Arabidopsis thaliana: one gene and its partners. The protein of the gene in region 2 interacts with the protein of the main gene of each other region in a pairwise test. Each region holds a gene or a part of one and is shown on either strand. Other genes may lie near its edges. The genes, in order: AT3G17090, AT3G53250 and LSM1B.

The links.
Region 1: the proteins of AT3G53250 (region 2) and AT3G17090 interact in a two-hybrid assay, tested with the Arabidopsis thaliana proteins (one large-scale study listed by BioGRID).
Region 3: the proteins of AT3G53250 (region 2) and LSM1B interact in a two-hybrid assay, tested with the Arabidopsis thaliana proteins (one large-scale study listed by BioGRID).

Annotation. Positions count from the first base shown.
Region 1 is NC_003074.8:5,825,026-5,830,642, reverse strand, and holds AT3G17090 (Protein phosphatase 2C family protein), read right to left. Parts: upstream 4,058-5,617; 5' UTR 3,660-4,057; coding exon 3,332-3,659; intron 2,783-3,331; coding exon 2,415-2,782; intron 1,934-2,414; coding exon 1,697-1,933; coding exon of another isoform or gene 1,693-1,696; intron 1,538-1,692; coding exon 1,316-1,537; 3' UTR 743-1,315; downstream 1-742. Other genes in the region: AT3G17080 (Plant self-incompatibility protein S1 family), read right to left, coding at 4,900-5,304. UniProt on the Arabidopsis thaliana protein: Dephosphorylates and represses plasma membrane H(+)-ATPases (PM H(+)-ATPases, e.g. AHA1 and AHA2), thus influencing negatively plant growth and fitness. Promotes the apical hook maintenance of etiolated seedlings.
Region 2 is NC_003074.8:19,740,674-19,744,172, forward strand, and holds AT3G53250 (SAUR-like auxin-responsive protein family), read left to right. Parts: upstream 1-2,013; 5' UTR 2,014-2,156; coding exon 2,157-2,624; 3' UTR 2,625-2,910; downstream 2,911-3,499.
Region 3 is NC_003074.8:4,665,581-4,669,728, forward strand, and holds LSM1B (Small nuclear ribonucleoprotein family protein), read left to right. Parts: upstream 1-1,727; 5' UTR 1,728-1,911; exon of another isoform or gene 1,912-2,021; 5' UTR 2,022-2,136; coding exon 2,137-2,197; intron 2,198-2,749; exon of another isoform or gene 2,750-2,769; coding exon of another isoform or gene 2,770-2,800; coding exon 2,801-2,869; intron 2,870-2,960; coding exon 2,961-3,076; intron 3,077-3,161; coding exon 3,162-3,224; intron 3,225-3,331; coding exon 3,332-3,409; 3' UTR 3,410-3,614; downstream 3,615-4,148. Other genes in the region: AT3G14075 (Mono-/di-acylglycerol lipase, N-terminal;Lipase, class 3), read right to left, coding at 1-75, 159-356, 462-758; EXO70D3 (exocyst subunit exo70 family protein D3), read right to left, coding at 3,928-4,148. UniProt on the Arabidopsis thaliana protein: Component of the cytoplasmic LSM1-LSM7 complex which is involved in mRNA degradation by promoting decapping and leading to accurate 5'-3' mRNA decay.

The DNA of each region.
Region 1 (5,617 bases), about 14 Mb from region 2:
AAAAGCCCATTAGTCTAGTATGAAGGCCCATTATGTTTGATGTTTGCGGCAGAAAAAACCCTAAGACCTAAATTCATAAGTATGTATATAAACCAACACTTCCGGCGATGCCTAAAACATTCGATCTCTCTTAAGCTAGGTTTAGTTTGCTGTGTTTTTACTATGTTTGTATATGATCTTTTAGAATCGTTTTGTAGCTGATTGGATTCGCCTCTCAGATTGAATTTCCTGTAGAGTATTCAATATCTACGGGATGATTCTTTCATCGATTTTATTCGTGAGGCGATAGATTATTGCAGGGGCGTTGAGTCGCTTCGTCTATGTTTAACCAGGCATAGCGAATAAGCTCGTGCTATATCCTAATCAGTTATCGTTTCTTTTTTAAAAAAGCTTATTGAAGGATCCTATGATGGCATGAAATCTTTGAGACCTGATTTTTTATTGATGAAAAGCTATAAGCATTTTTACTCTGAGGATCCTTATAATTTTTTGTATCTGTTTCAATTTTTTTATCTGGCTAGAATAATTGTTGAGGGTCTAAGAAGGAAAAGATGATGAATATGCACTGGGCTCTGAGTTGTTGATTGACATTCAACTTCTTTTTGATGCATAATGCAGCCTAGAAAGCTTAATCTGATTTTTCTTTCATTAGTACTCTCAAAGGTTTTAGTATTAACAAGAACTTTATAGATTTATGGAATTGTATTTGATATTTTTTAGAAAAGGTCCATGAATCCATTTAATCAGAACTAACATTTAAGTCTTGCATAAGTAAAATGTTGAAGCCAAACGTTGCTCCACGACTTTGTTCTCCAAATCAAATCCGTACGAAAATTAAGTATTTCACCGAAACCGCAAATTTGAGATAGTATGAAGAGTTGACAACTGTGGCACATAAATATCGAAACAGTAATCCAAGAGCATCTTAAAATCTTTTTTGATCAATAAAGTTAAACCTAGAAATGTTGAAGAATAACCACTGTTCGGGAATGAAGAATAATTATAAGTTACCAAAACAATTTTGATTAGAGACTTGATGTTACATTCGAGAATAGTATGGTTACACGGCTATGTTACATTACATACTTTTGACGAACGGCAAGAAGTAAAAGACTTGGAACTCATCAGAACTTTGAAGAGAAACACCAAAAGTCAAACATAGCCGCTTAATACAAGAGAGAACTCATTACGTACGATAATGATGTTGTTTTTTTCATTTTTGGTTTTTTCCATATGTTGCCTTTTTTTTATTCATTCTAGGCAAAAGTCATATAATCAAGTAAGAAGAAACATTGTTGTAAAATGTTTGGGATTCTCAGTGTTCAAGAGCACTCCGTATAGAGACTGTTGTGTCTTGGGTTGAGTTGATGTGGCCTCTCGATATGAGGTCATGGTTCAAGAACACCACTATAACCGTGATGTCATCATGAAAATGTCGTCTCACTTTCTTGTCAATCTTCCTTAGATCTGAATATCTCATCTCACGTTTCCTCGCTGCCTCGTGAAGAGCCGCCTTTATCAGTCTCTTTGCGCTTCCCTGAACATAGAGAGAAACACACAATGCAAGAAATCATTTATATATTTAACGAATTTGTAATAATGAGGATTCTTGTGACTTGACTCGCTTAAAACTGCAATCTAAAACTTATCTAGACCAAAAACGCCATCTAAGAGAGAAATCAAAGTAGAAACTTACAGCACGGGGATGGTTATGAACAATCTCAACTGCTTTTTCGTTAGTCAAATGCTCCCAAAGACCATCAGATGCAAAAATGAGAAACGAATCATTAGGGTGCAGAGGATGAGAGAGTATTGTTGGTGTTGCAGACATCAAGGGTCTTTTCATTGGCTCTGCAATTCTGAACTTTTGACTGATTGGCTCCTTGTTAAATTCGGGCCGTTTCATGTACATGTCTCCTATAGACCTCGATACCTATATAAACAGCGAATCAAAGTTGAACAGTAAATACAGGGAATCATCAGAAAGTCTTAAGAGCTGCATGGTAGAGATGATTAATTATTGGTAACTAGACATCACAAAGAGCGTAAGACATATATTTAGCTTGTTCAGTACATATGTATGGAGTTCATCAGAAACCCATTACTTGCTAATTCTGCTTATGCACTACCTCATTACTTGCTAATTCTCAAAACTTTTTAAAGATTTGTACTTCTCAGACCTCTAATGAACTTTTCTATAGCTTATAAGAAAGGCCAAACCGCTCAAAGACTAAAAAAGAGAGAAGAAAAATGATTTAGCTCTTCCGAAACAAGCATAAGGTAGATATGTCAAAGTTTGCGAAACCAAAGAGAGTTAACACAACAAGGAACCTAGTTATGTCTAAGTGACTAATTTTACATTTTTCTTTTGGAAAATTAACATCACAAGGGATGGCAGGAGAATGAGAAACTACCTGAATGATGCCCTTAACTCTCCAAACTCCATGCCTGAACACAACGATCTGCGGGTCATCAGGATGTAAGTCCTTGAGTTCCCAACGAATATCTTCATTGTTAGCATTGTGTTCAGTCGACAGCTGAATAGCAGAGAGTCCGCCACAGTTGCCTTTCTTTCCAAGAACAACCCGTGAATCTCCAAGACTTGCCACAAAAAGAGTATTTTGATATATCACTCCAACCAAACAACAAGTGCCAACAGTTGCCAAATTTGGTATTTCTTGCCACAGCTCTGACACAATGGAAGCGAATCCTTCTTCTGTCGCATGAAAGGCTCTTTCTATCGTCTCTCTCGTCACAACTCCTTGTGTTTCCGCTGATATTTCTGCATAACCATAAAGCCTGAGCAATCAAAACATAAGAGAGGCTCAACCTCCTTTCATAATTACAGTGCACTCCTAGTTTGCTTAAGCCTGGTAATATTCATGACACTCCACCATCAATGCAAAAGCCAGGGACCCTTATCTAAATGGCAAAGAACAATCTCAAAGAACCAGGAATGCGAAATGCAAAGAGTCCTCCTATATATCAAACTGCATTACAAATACTCCTATATATCAAAGAGCATACTCATATCTAAAGTTTTACTATTTCTGAAGTCAATAAACACAGTTTTTAAATGCAAAGACTGTAGCTCTAAACTTGCATTTAGCTTAATGGGAACCTAATTATACCCCAACGAGATTAAAAAGTCAAAGTACCTAACTTTGTTGACCAATCACCATCTTCATCACCAAGATTTGAACAAAAAGTTCAGAATTAAGTCAACGGATTCATCTAAAATATGTATTTCCCCAAAAAACCAATTCAAAACACTCAAGCTCGAATGTCAAAATGACGAATCACTGTGTCAATGAAGAATCGGATTACGAACCTCGAAAATGGTTAAAGAGATGATCACAGACATAACGAGCAGCTTCAGGACCACCATGACCATCGTAAACACCAACAAAAGTCCCAAAATTACCGGATTCGACCTGGCTCTGATCTTCAAGAACCTGATTGGCTTGAATCACAGCCATGGAGAAATCTCCGCCGCAATATTTACCGAGATCACGGAACCAAAGCAATCCGTCTTTGCCTTCACCGCCGGTTCCACCAGAAACGCCACCACCACCACCCGATCCAGCTTCGGAATTATCACAGACGTGCCCGAATGGCTTGAAGCAGAGAGAAAACAGATTCATCAATGAACCTGACATTCAACATCTCTCGAAAACCCTAACCCCCAAAAACCCACTCCTCGGAACCGTGAGATTTCTGGGTATTAAGGGTTCGATTCAAAATCAGAGAAAAGGAGCGGGATTGGGTAATGGAAATGAGATCGGGAGAAGAGAATGATGGGAGAGAGAGAAAACCCTAGGTCTTAATGGAAGGGATGATGCGCAGGATAAGATGTTTTGGCGTAGGATAAGGGGAGAGGCGTAAGATAGAAAGTAGTAGAAGACGATGACGGACGTGTCTTGTCCGGTCGTAAAGGAACAAAGAAATTCTCGCTTGTAATTTTTTGTCTGATGAGGAGAGAGCGATCTTCCCTTAGCTGTCCGACCATTTTCTTTGCCTATACTATTACACAACTGTTGTGTTGCCCAAATTAAAAAAAAAAAATCTAACAAACTAAAAACTATATTATTAAAAGAAAGATGAAAATTTTGTTATATATGTTTACTAAATCAAAATTTAATACAAATTATAATGTAAAATATTTATATGCAAGTTCTTTGCATTATTTTTTTTAAAATTTGGGTTTGACTCAATAGACTTTCTACTTACTTCTTTTGCTAAATCGGAAATAAATATAAAAGAGATAAGTTTCTAGATGTAATGCATTTCACTTATGGGAGTAAATCTTCACCAATTTATGTCATTGAAAGTATATGTTTTAAGATAATATTTCACTTCCACTACTCGAGAAAAGCCTTCCCACGCGGGTTTAGTTTCCTCCATTCACCAACATGCGTTTAACTATGCCATTTGGTTATGTCGAATTATACTAGTTTTTTTTTTTTTCTGGTTTTAAATTACACTAGATTGTGCACTACGTTTGACTCATTGAGTTTCGGGGTCATGAAATGGGACTCTAATCGATATGCGTTTAGTTAAGCACAAATGTATAATTTACATAGTTGTTCTTTCGATCAACACTTGTTCTCTATTTATTTATAATTCTTTTTTTTTGTTAAAAAATGAACGTTAAGCATAAAAGAAAAGCTCATTGTAGTTCACATTATATTCTTATAATGTTTTGTTACTTCGCTCTAAAATTATTTGACTATAATTGTGTCATTAACAAGTAAAAAAAAAAGAAAACGAATTGTAGGTCAAACCATAAAATATCATATTAAGACACAATTACCTCATACAAAAAAGAAAAAAAAAGGTAGAAGAAGAAGTAGACAGACATAGATTGATAGTTACGACATGTTTTATAAAATAAGGATATTAATCCCAAGAATAGCAATGATCAAACATGCCGGTCTTCTTATAAAACTTGCAAGGTCCATTTTTCCGTATTTTCCATTCGCATTTTTTGCAACCAAACTCTTGAAATTCTTTGTCTCTACTCTGTTTGTAGATATCAAATATATGACTCTCAGCTCCCCAACTAAAACGACAGTAAAACAAAGTCCGGCCAAAAATATCCGGTGTAAATCCAAACGACCACGATCTACCTGGTGCTAAACTCTGGTATCCAAGATCATCCTCTCTTGATTTGCAGTGGTGCCGTAGTGGCAAACCACCTCCAAGATCATTATAAATCACTACACTCGTCGAGGCTCGAGACATAATTGCACTCATAAACATAACCATTACAAAGAAAAGTAAGCATGTCTCAAGAGAACCCATAATTCGTCTAAACTTTTTTTTTTTTTAATCCTGGAAAATATCCAAGTATATGTTGATAACTATTTCAATCAAACTTGTTCAGTATTTATACTGTATAGGTAACATCTTTTTGCACAAAAAAAAAGGTAACATCTTAAGTCAACACTTTCCAAATTATGATCCATGTTTGTTTTGACACTAACTTTTTTTAAAAAAAATATCCAAGTATATGTTGTTATATGATCAACACTTTCCAAATTATGATCGCTACAAGAGAAACGGTATTTGACGTCGGTCATTATTGACTTTAACGTCATTTTCAAACTGACTTTAA
Region 2 (3,499 bases):
TGTGGGTGTAATAAGGGTATGGCTACCTCATCTAGGCCCTTCTTTTTTCTATTTTCTTTCAAAATAATCAAAGTCAAAATAGGGTTTGATCCCAAGAGTCGCTAATCGATCGATGATCCGAGTATGAAATAAGTACATTACTCCATCGTGACCCGATCTTATGATGTAATGTTTAAGTACACGTTCATTACAAGTTTATAACAAAAAAAAGTTACAACACCGTTTCCTTACTAACTAAAATATCTATTGAACATATCGATAACTCAACTACTCATTATTTTTTGATAAACCAAAAATATTGAAGAATATACGAGCAACTGAGTTCATAAGCCCATAGACAAGGGCAAACGAAAGCATTAGTGCTCGTGAAAATTAGATTTGTTATATTTTGACTAGTATTTGTTATGTTTGACGTTTATGAAAGAAAACCTACTCCAAAGGGCTGGCTGGCTATAAAATTCATTTCACAATTAAAATTTAGGGTATTGTTGATCCTAAATCAAAGGTTGGTAATTTCGTTAATTAAAGTTTAAATAATTCCTGGTTATCGAATGAGGTTATTTGTAAGAATTATGAGACTCAAAAGACAAACATCATAAAAGCCTCACGTTCCCACAATAAATTTCATGCAGACGAAGCCAGCCTACTTTTTTAGAAATGGCCCTCCTTCTTATCTCAAACCAGCTTGACCGTCCCGGGTCTGATGATACATCAGTTCTGTCTGGTCCAAAGGCTAGTTTAAAACTTTTAATAGATTCAAATTTTTATTTTGTTAACAAAAAGTATAAAAAAAGAGTTATAAAAACAAATATATATTAAAAAAATTTGAAGCTGATGATTATATGTTTAGTTTGTCAGGCTCAAATTTTGATTGAAATAGTTTCGAAATCAAAATCATGACAAAACATTAGAAAATGATTATAAACAAACAAAATAATACAGATGGTAAAAAAACTTAGAGAATAAATCTGAAAGACTAAAACCAAATAACCGCATAACATGAAGCATAATCGTTTGTATTAGTGTCATTGATGTGTCACCATCCAAATTCAATTCTGTACAATGCATGTTGTTAACAAAACAAAAAAATCTGAAACCAAATAGAAAATGTCTCCCAAAAGATAATCTGATTTCCAAATCCAATCCCACATAACCCAAAAAAGATAAAACCATATTATATTTTCACTAAAACCAGCTCAAACTTTCTTTTGTTCTACATTAAACAAGCTTAATTTTAGATTAGGTCCTAGTTGACACCTATTGGGATGAAAAAAACAGAACATACCATAGGCTCATCTGCATAAGTAATGTGTAAGAAAGAATGATTGCTCTTCTCATACTCAGCTATTTCGGGGGGATGAATCTGAATCCTAATGAATAGTTGATCTGCTCTGTTCTGTGCTGCTTCCCAATCATATTGGACCCTGCAAAAGCTGACACTTCTTTATCAGTCTACACTTGCAATCCATGCATAAAGAAAAATCACAAAACAAAATAAAAAGCAGACCTATTTAGATATATTATTATCATATATCTATTCATAGAACCATTAGACAAGAATGATCCTAATCAATCTTCACATGCTAATCAGCTTGAGATTTTTTTTTTTTTTTAAATGAACATTGGATTTTTATAGACAAATTAGGCTAATTCAAGAAGTCACTTCAACTAAAGCCTTGATCTTCAAGAAATCACCAAAAGAAAAGAGAGTACATTTTAGAATCATAAAATCCATGAATCATAAATCGAGATCACACTTTGTCCAAGAAGATTTAAAACCCATCACTCTTCTTCATTTCCCTTATCTTCTCTCTATCTCTCAATTCTTTCTTTTGTGGGGTCTTACAAGTCTTAGCTCCCATGATTTCAGTTACAGTCGAGAAGATGAAAATAACATTTCTTATTTGCAATTGTAATAATGCAATGCATGTTCGTACAGTTTCAGTTTTATGAGGGAAAATAACGGAACCGCACGAGTGAAAAAAAAATGGCAAACAATTCTCATAATTTAAAGCCCTCGTGATGTATCTTACCATTTATATAAAAAAATCTTGCCCATCTCATACTCAAAAAAACATTACATTTAATATCACTATGGACCTAAGATTTTTTTCATTTCTATCTAAGCTCTGTAAATCAATCATCTATATATATACATGTACTTCACCATTGTACTTCTCATCACAAAACCATCTCTATCTCTCTTTTATTCATCATTCATATTCGAAACCTCTCATTCTATACTCAAAATGAAGAACAAGTTCATAAAATCATGCGAAAACAAATTCAGAATCATGAAGAGCAAATCCATAGTTCTACCTTGTTGTACATCTTCATGCGAGAGTTGCTGCGACAAGGTTTCTTGGGGATTCAAGAAGGAAAATGAAGCAATACCTAAAGATGTTCCGAGAGGACATTTGGTAGTGTATGTTGGTGATGATTACAAGAGGTTTGTGATAAAGATGAGTTTGCTTACTCATCCAATCTTTAAAGCATTGCTTGATCAAGCGCAAGATGCTTATAATTCATCAAGACTATGGATTCCATGTGATGAGAACACTTTTCTCGATGTTGTTCGTTGCAGTGGCGCTCCTCAGCATCAGAGAAACTGCATTGGCATGTAATGTTAAGAAGGGAGGGATTCAAAAGACATATTCATTTGGTTTTGATTCATCATCCGGTTCTATGTTTCTAGAGAGAATTAATGTTGAGGATTGATTTAGATAATCTTGTACACTAATTAAGTAAGAGTTTTCGTAATATAAGTAATCATCTATCGTATTATATAAGTGAGTGTTCACTAAACATGTTACATTTTCAAATGTTTCCAAATAAACTGAAACATTAAGACTATGACAAATATCTGAAGACAAATAGCAAAACTTCCAACATTATCTGATCATGCTTCTGTTCTGTGTCATAGAAAAAAACTTGAACTTCTCTGATGTAGATATTGTCAGAAAATCAAACAACTTTCAGTTTCTAGCAATTGTCTTGACTAGCCAAAGGGAATGAGTTTGCAGCTATCTTATTCGAGTTTAGAGCAAACTTGAACTCTTTTCTGATGCAGATATTGTCAGAGAACAGACACAACTTCCAGTTTCTATCAATTGTATCTGTATTATTCTACATCATTAAAATGGATGAATGTCAAGAAGTAAGATTTTTTTGTTACTCGCAAATGAAAGATTATGACAAAGAAGATATAATGTGTTTGTTATTGCACGATAGGCTCCAAGAAATGGCCATGAGATGCATAGGATAGATATTAGTCTAATATCTAAAAAGAGAAACTCACATAAAAGGATTCGAAATGTTTAGAGAAAGGCCAGAAACATACATTTGAAGCCAAACACAAATAAATCATAAAGTCTTTTGTCAACGGTGTCAAATCCACATTTACCAACATAAAAAGTAACAAGTTAACAACGAGTTTTACACGTAAGTTTTTATATCATATATATCATACAAGGTGTGACACCATTCACATTACAATCAA
Region 3 (4,148 bases), about 15 Mb from region 2:
ATGCGTTCCACGAATCAATAACAGAAAATATTTTGTATTGTGATCGACAAGAACCGTAAAAGCTGGCTTCAATATCTACATGGTGCAAAATTCAAAACTAAACTTCTCAATTTCTATGTTGAAAAAGTGCCTAAGAGTTGAGAGTTGTTAAAGTTTACCCCAGCTTTGGGTTCATGAATAAGGACATTTTCCTTTGTAAAGCCGGTCTCTTCTAAGAAAAACGGAAACGACTTCTTGGAAAAATGCCAACACAATGTCAACAAGTGCAAAAGATATTTGAGTTCAGTGGCTACTTCTGATCCTCTAAGTTCTACACTATCTTTACCACCAAAGACACGATCAACATGTAGAAGTCCCTACGGTTTTAGGTACACAATTACAAAAAGTTCAATTTTGACCACAAGATAATTAGAAAAAAATCCAGAACTTAAGACCGTTAAAACGATGAAGAGATGTTATACCTGCCTCTTGATGAGAAAATTGATCCCAAACGCAAGATCACCAATAGGCCACTTCCCAAGAGTCTCAGAGTAAGTAAAACGAAGAGTCTCAGAAAGAGTAGAAATAGTCTCCAACCAAGTTGCCGGAGCTTGAATAAGCCTATGCGAAACACGGTCAATCCTCAAAGAAGGACGAGAAGCAGAAGCTTCAGAATTCTCATCGTCAACGTCAGATGGACCAGCTATTAATTTCCGATTCAACGTGTAATATAAAAGAGCAGCTGCTCCAGCTGCTGTTGCCATAGTTGCAGTTGCCATGATCAATCTATCCCTAAAATCATCAATGAAACAAATTCGCTCAATCCAAGACGAAACTCAATCTAATAAGAATACAAAATTTAAAGACAAAATCGATTGAAACTACATTGGATGCCACAATTTCAATCTCCAGATGCGTTCTTAAGTATCTCAGACTTATTCCAGAAATCTCCAAAAACATGTAAAGCTGGAAAATTGGATATAATTTCGTACAAAGAACATTCTTTTCACCAATTAACCCCAAAGAATTCGGGATACAAAAAAAAGAAGCCATTAATAGAAAACTCTCACTTTCCTGAAACTTCTCGAATACCACAACAAACCCTACTCCTGATAACTATCGCGTCTTTTAACCGATGCAAATCATAAAATTGAATGTGATTTAGCTTAAAATTGAACAGGATCGGTGAACTATAGAAACAAAACCCTAAATCCTACCCCAAGAATAGCATCGTTAAAACACGAAGTTCTTTGTGAATCAAACCTGGAAAAATAAGACGAAATCGTGACCTTAATTTGAGGGTTTTACAGTGGAGAAGGAAGGTTAAGGTTGCTTTAGCTTATGTACGATATCTCCGGGAAGGGGAAGCTGCTTTCTCTCCGATGATGTTGTTAGCTACAAGATGCTGCAATGCAAAAGTGTGAAAACAGAATTTTTTGTTTTGCTTTAAATAAACTGCGCTACGTTTTTGTGCTAAGCGAACGCCGCGTAGTTTCGCGCCGCCGAGATCTGATGCTTACGTGGGAATATATTATTGGATGACTTACCCATAAAAGCGTTTTAACATAAATCAAGCAGTAAATAATAATAGTGTTAAATCGACTTTTTTGGTCCATAAATTAAAATTTATTCGAAACAGATATTTTATTAGCTTGGAAGATTAGTCTCATTTATTTAAGAAACATTCAGTCACAATAATTATTAGGAAATTTAACATTAAATTGGAAAGTGCTTAAAGTATTAAAGTACAACGTCTTATCTATCGAGTTAAGAAATCGTGGACATTGCTTGAAAATAATAAAAAAGGGACAGTGGACGGATTTGCTCGCTAGTTTTCTCTTCGAATTTTCCACAAACAAATTTTCTCAGCCAAAGTTCGATCGGATCTGGGTTTTATATTTTTTTGAAGAACCCGTGTCCGTCTTCGATCAGGTGTCGAAAGTCTCAATCTTTTTTAATCACTTTATCAATTTAAACCCTTTGGTCAAAACCCTAATTTAGATTTCTCTTTCCGTCTTCACTTTTTTTTTTTCCTGTCAAAGTTCGCGTTCAATAGCCAAATCTTATCTCTTCAGCTGGAATCTGACGAACATTATTATCATCGGTAGTGTTCTATAGAAAGACCGAAAGTTTTCTTCAATTTCAAAGTCAGTGGCGATGTCGTGGGCTGGTCCTGAAGAAATTTATCTTTCAACATCACTCGCTAGTTATCTCGATAGTAAATCCGTCTCTCTTTCTCTCTGTTTCACATATTTGTTGAACCGTATGAATGCATGTAGTTAAAATAATTGGCCGTGATGGCTCTGTACGCATTTGGGAGCTCAATTTTGCAAACAATTCTCTGTTTTTTTGACGTTTGATTTTGACTTCTTATTGATATATAGGCTGTACTATTTTGTGGCTGTATCCAAAGCTTGTCAATTTTGGTGTTGAATTGTCTCAAAGAGACATTCATTGATTAAGATATTGATTATTGAATCAAAGCTTTAGTTTTTTTTTAATTGGGTCAAATCTAACTGTTCATCAGTTATTGTTGTCAAGCTAAATTTTAGCATGCGTGAGAGATTAGATGTGATTGAGGTTGCTGGCTCACTCTTTATTCAACTTACGAAGTATAAACTTTAACCTTTGTTGAAATTTAATTCACTATCGGCTTTTTGATGTTGGTTCTTTGAGTTTAAAAGTCAATGATCTTCTTTTGCTGATGTTTTTGGGCTATGAGTTAGTTCTCAATCTCATTTGGCGTACCGTTTTCTTTTTTAGATATGAATCAATGTGCATCAGTTACTTATGTATGTTGGCTCTGCTCTTGATGATGCAGGAAAACTACTTGTGCTTCTTAGAGATGGTAGAAAGCTAATGGGAACACTCCGTTCCTTTGATCAATTCGGTATTCACTTTTCTTTCCATGTTTCTAGATTTACGATATTGTTGATGAGCGGGAGAGATTTGACTTTTTTTTGTTCGTTGTAAATACACAGCCAATGCGGTTCTAGAAGGTGCGTGTGAGAGGGTAATTGTTGGTGAACAATACTGTGACATTCCTTTAGGCCTCTATGTAATCCGTGGAGAGAATGTTGTTTTGATTGGTGAGCTGGTAAGACTTCTCCTTGTTTGTCTTTTCTTGCTGTGTCACCTCGTGTTTTCCAATTCACTGAGTTTGACCTTAAACTATGTATTAGGACACGGAGAGAGAAGAGCTTCCTCCACATATGATTCGCGTCTCAGAGGCAGAGATTAAAAGGGTAAGACATCGCATAACATGTTCATTTTGATTAGCCAAATTTGATTCATTTGTGATGCTGTGTGCGTGCTGATGATTTGGTTTTCGGGAATCTGTCTGTTGATGCAGGCACAAAAGGTGGAGAGGGAAGCGAGTGAGCTGAGAGGAACAATGAGGAAGAGAATGGAGTTTCTTGACTTTGATTAAACCAGATTGTATCCCCATTCATTATTGGCTTGATGCTCTGCTTTGGCTCGCAAGTTTTATGATGAGCCTTTTTGGTGTGTTGACTTAGGGGATCGACGCAATTCTTGTGTTTCATTTTGGATGAATATGACAATAAATCTGTGTACTTTTGTCTTTGGATCTATTTACCTTTTTAAGAAAAAAATGTTAAGCAATTTCTTTCTCTATTTTGGAACTTTTAAACAAGGAGCTTGCCTATGGCTACTACCAAACGGAACAAAAATGGAGCAAATGAGTAGAGGACGTCGCACATTGCAAAATTTACATGGTACTTATTGGTTCTGTGATCAATCAGGACTTTTATAAATAGAAGACATATGGCACAAACAACAACACACAAATATGTTCACCTGGAGATTATTCCACCGGGCAGGAAACCCGTGAATAAAAATTCAAAGAATGGTTCTATTTCTATGACATCCTAATGTGACTGAAAAACGAAAGAAAGAAGATAGAACTCTCGGGTTTTCGATCTTCTTTTATCGCCTCCTCAAGTGTGGTGGTGTGGTATATCCTTCGAAGAAATCTAGAACGATGGTCTCGATATCTTCAACCGAATATTTCAAATAGTTCTCAGGGTGTCTTCCACTCTCTATATGACCCCTGAACCTTCCAAGAAACGATCTATAAGCAGGGATTAGATGCTCGGATAGCGATATTCGGAGTTCTTCTCTAAGCTGAGCATCTGGAACCGACCATG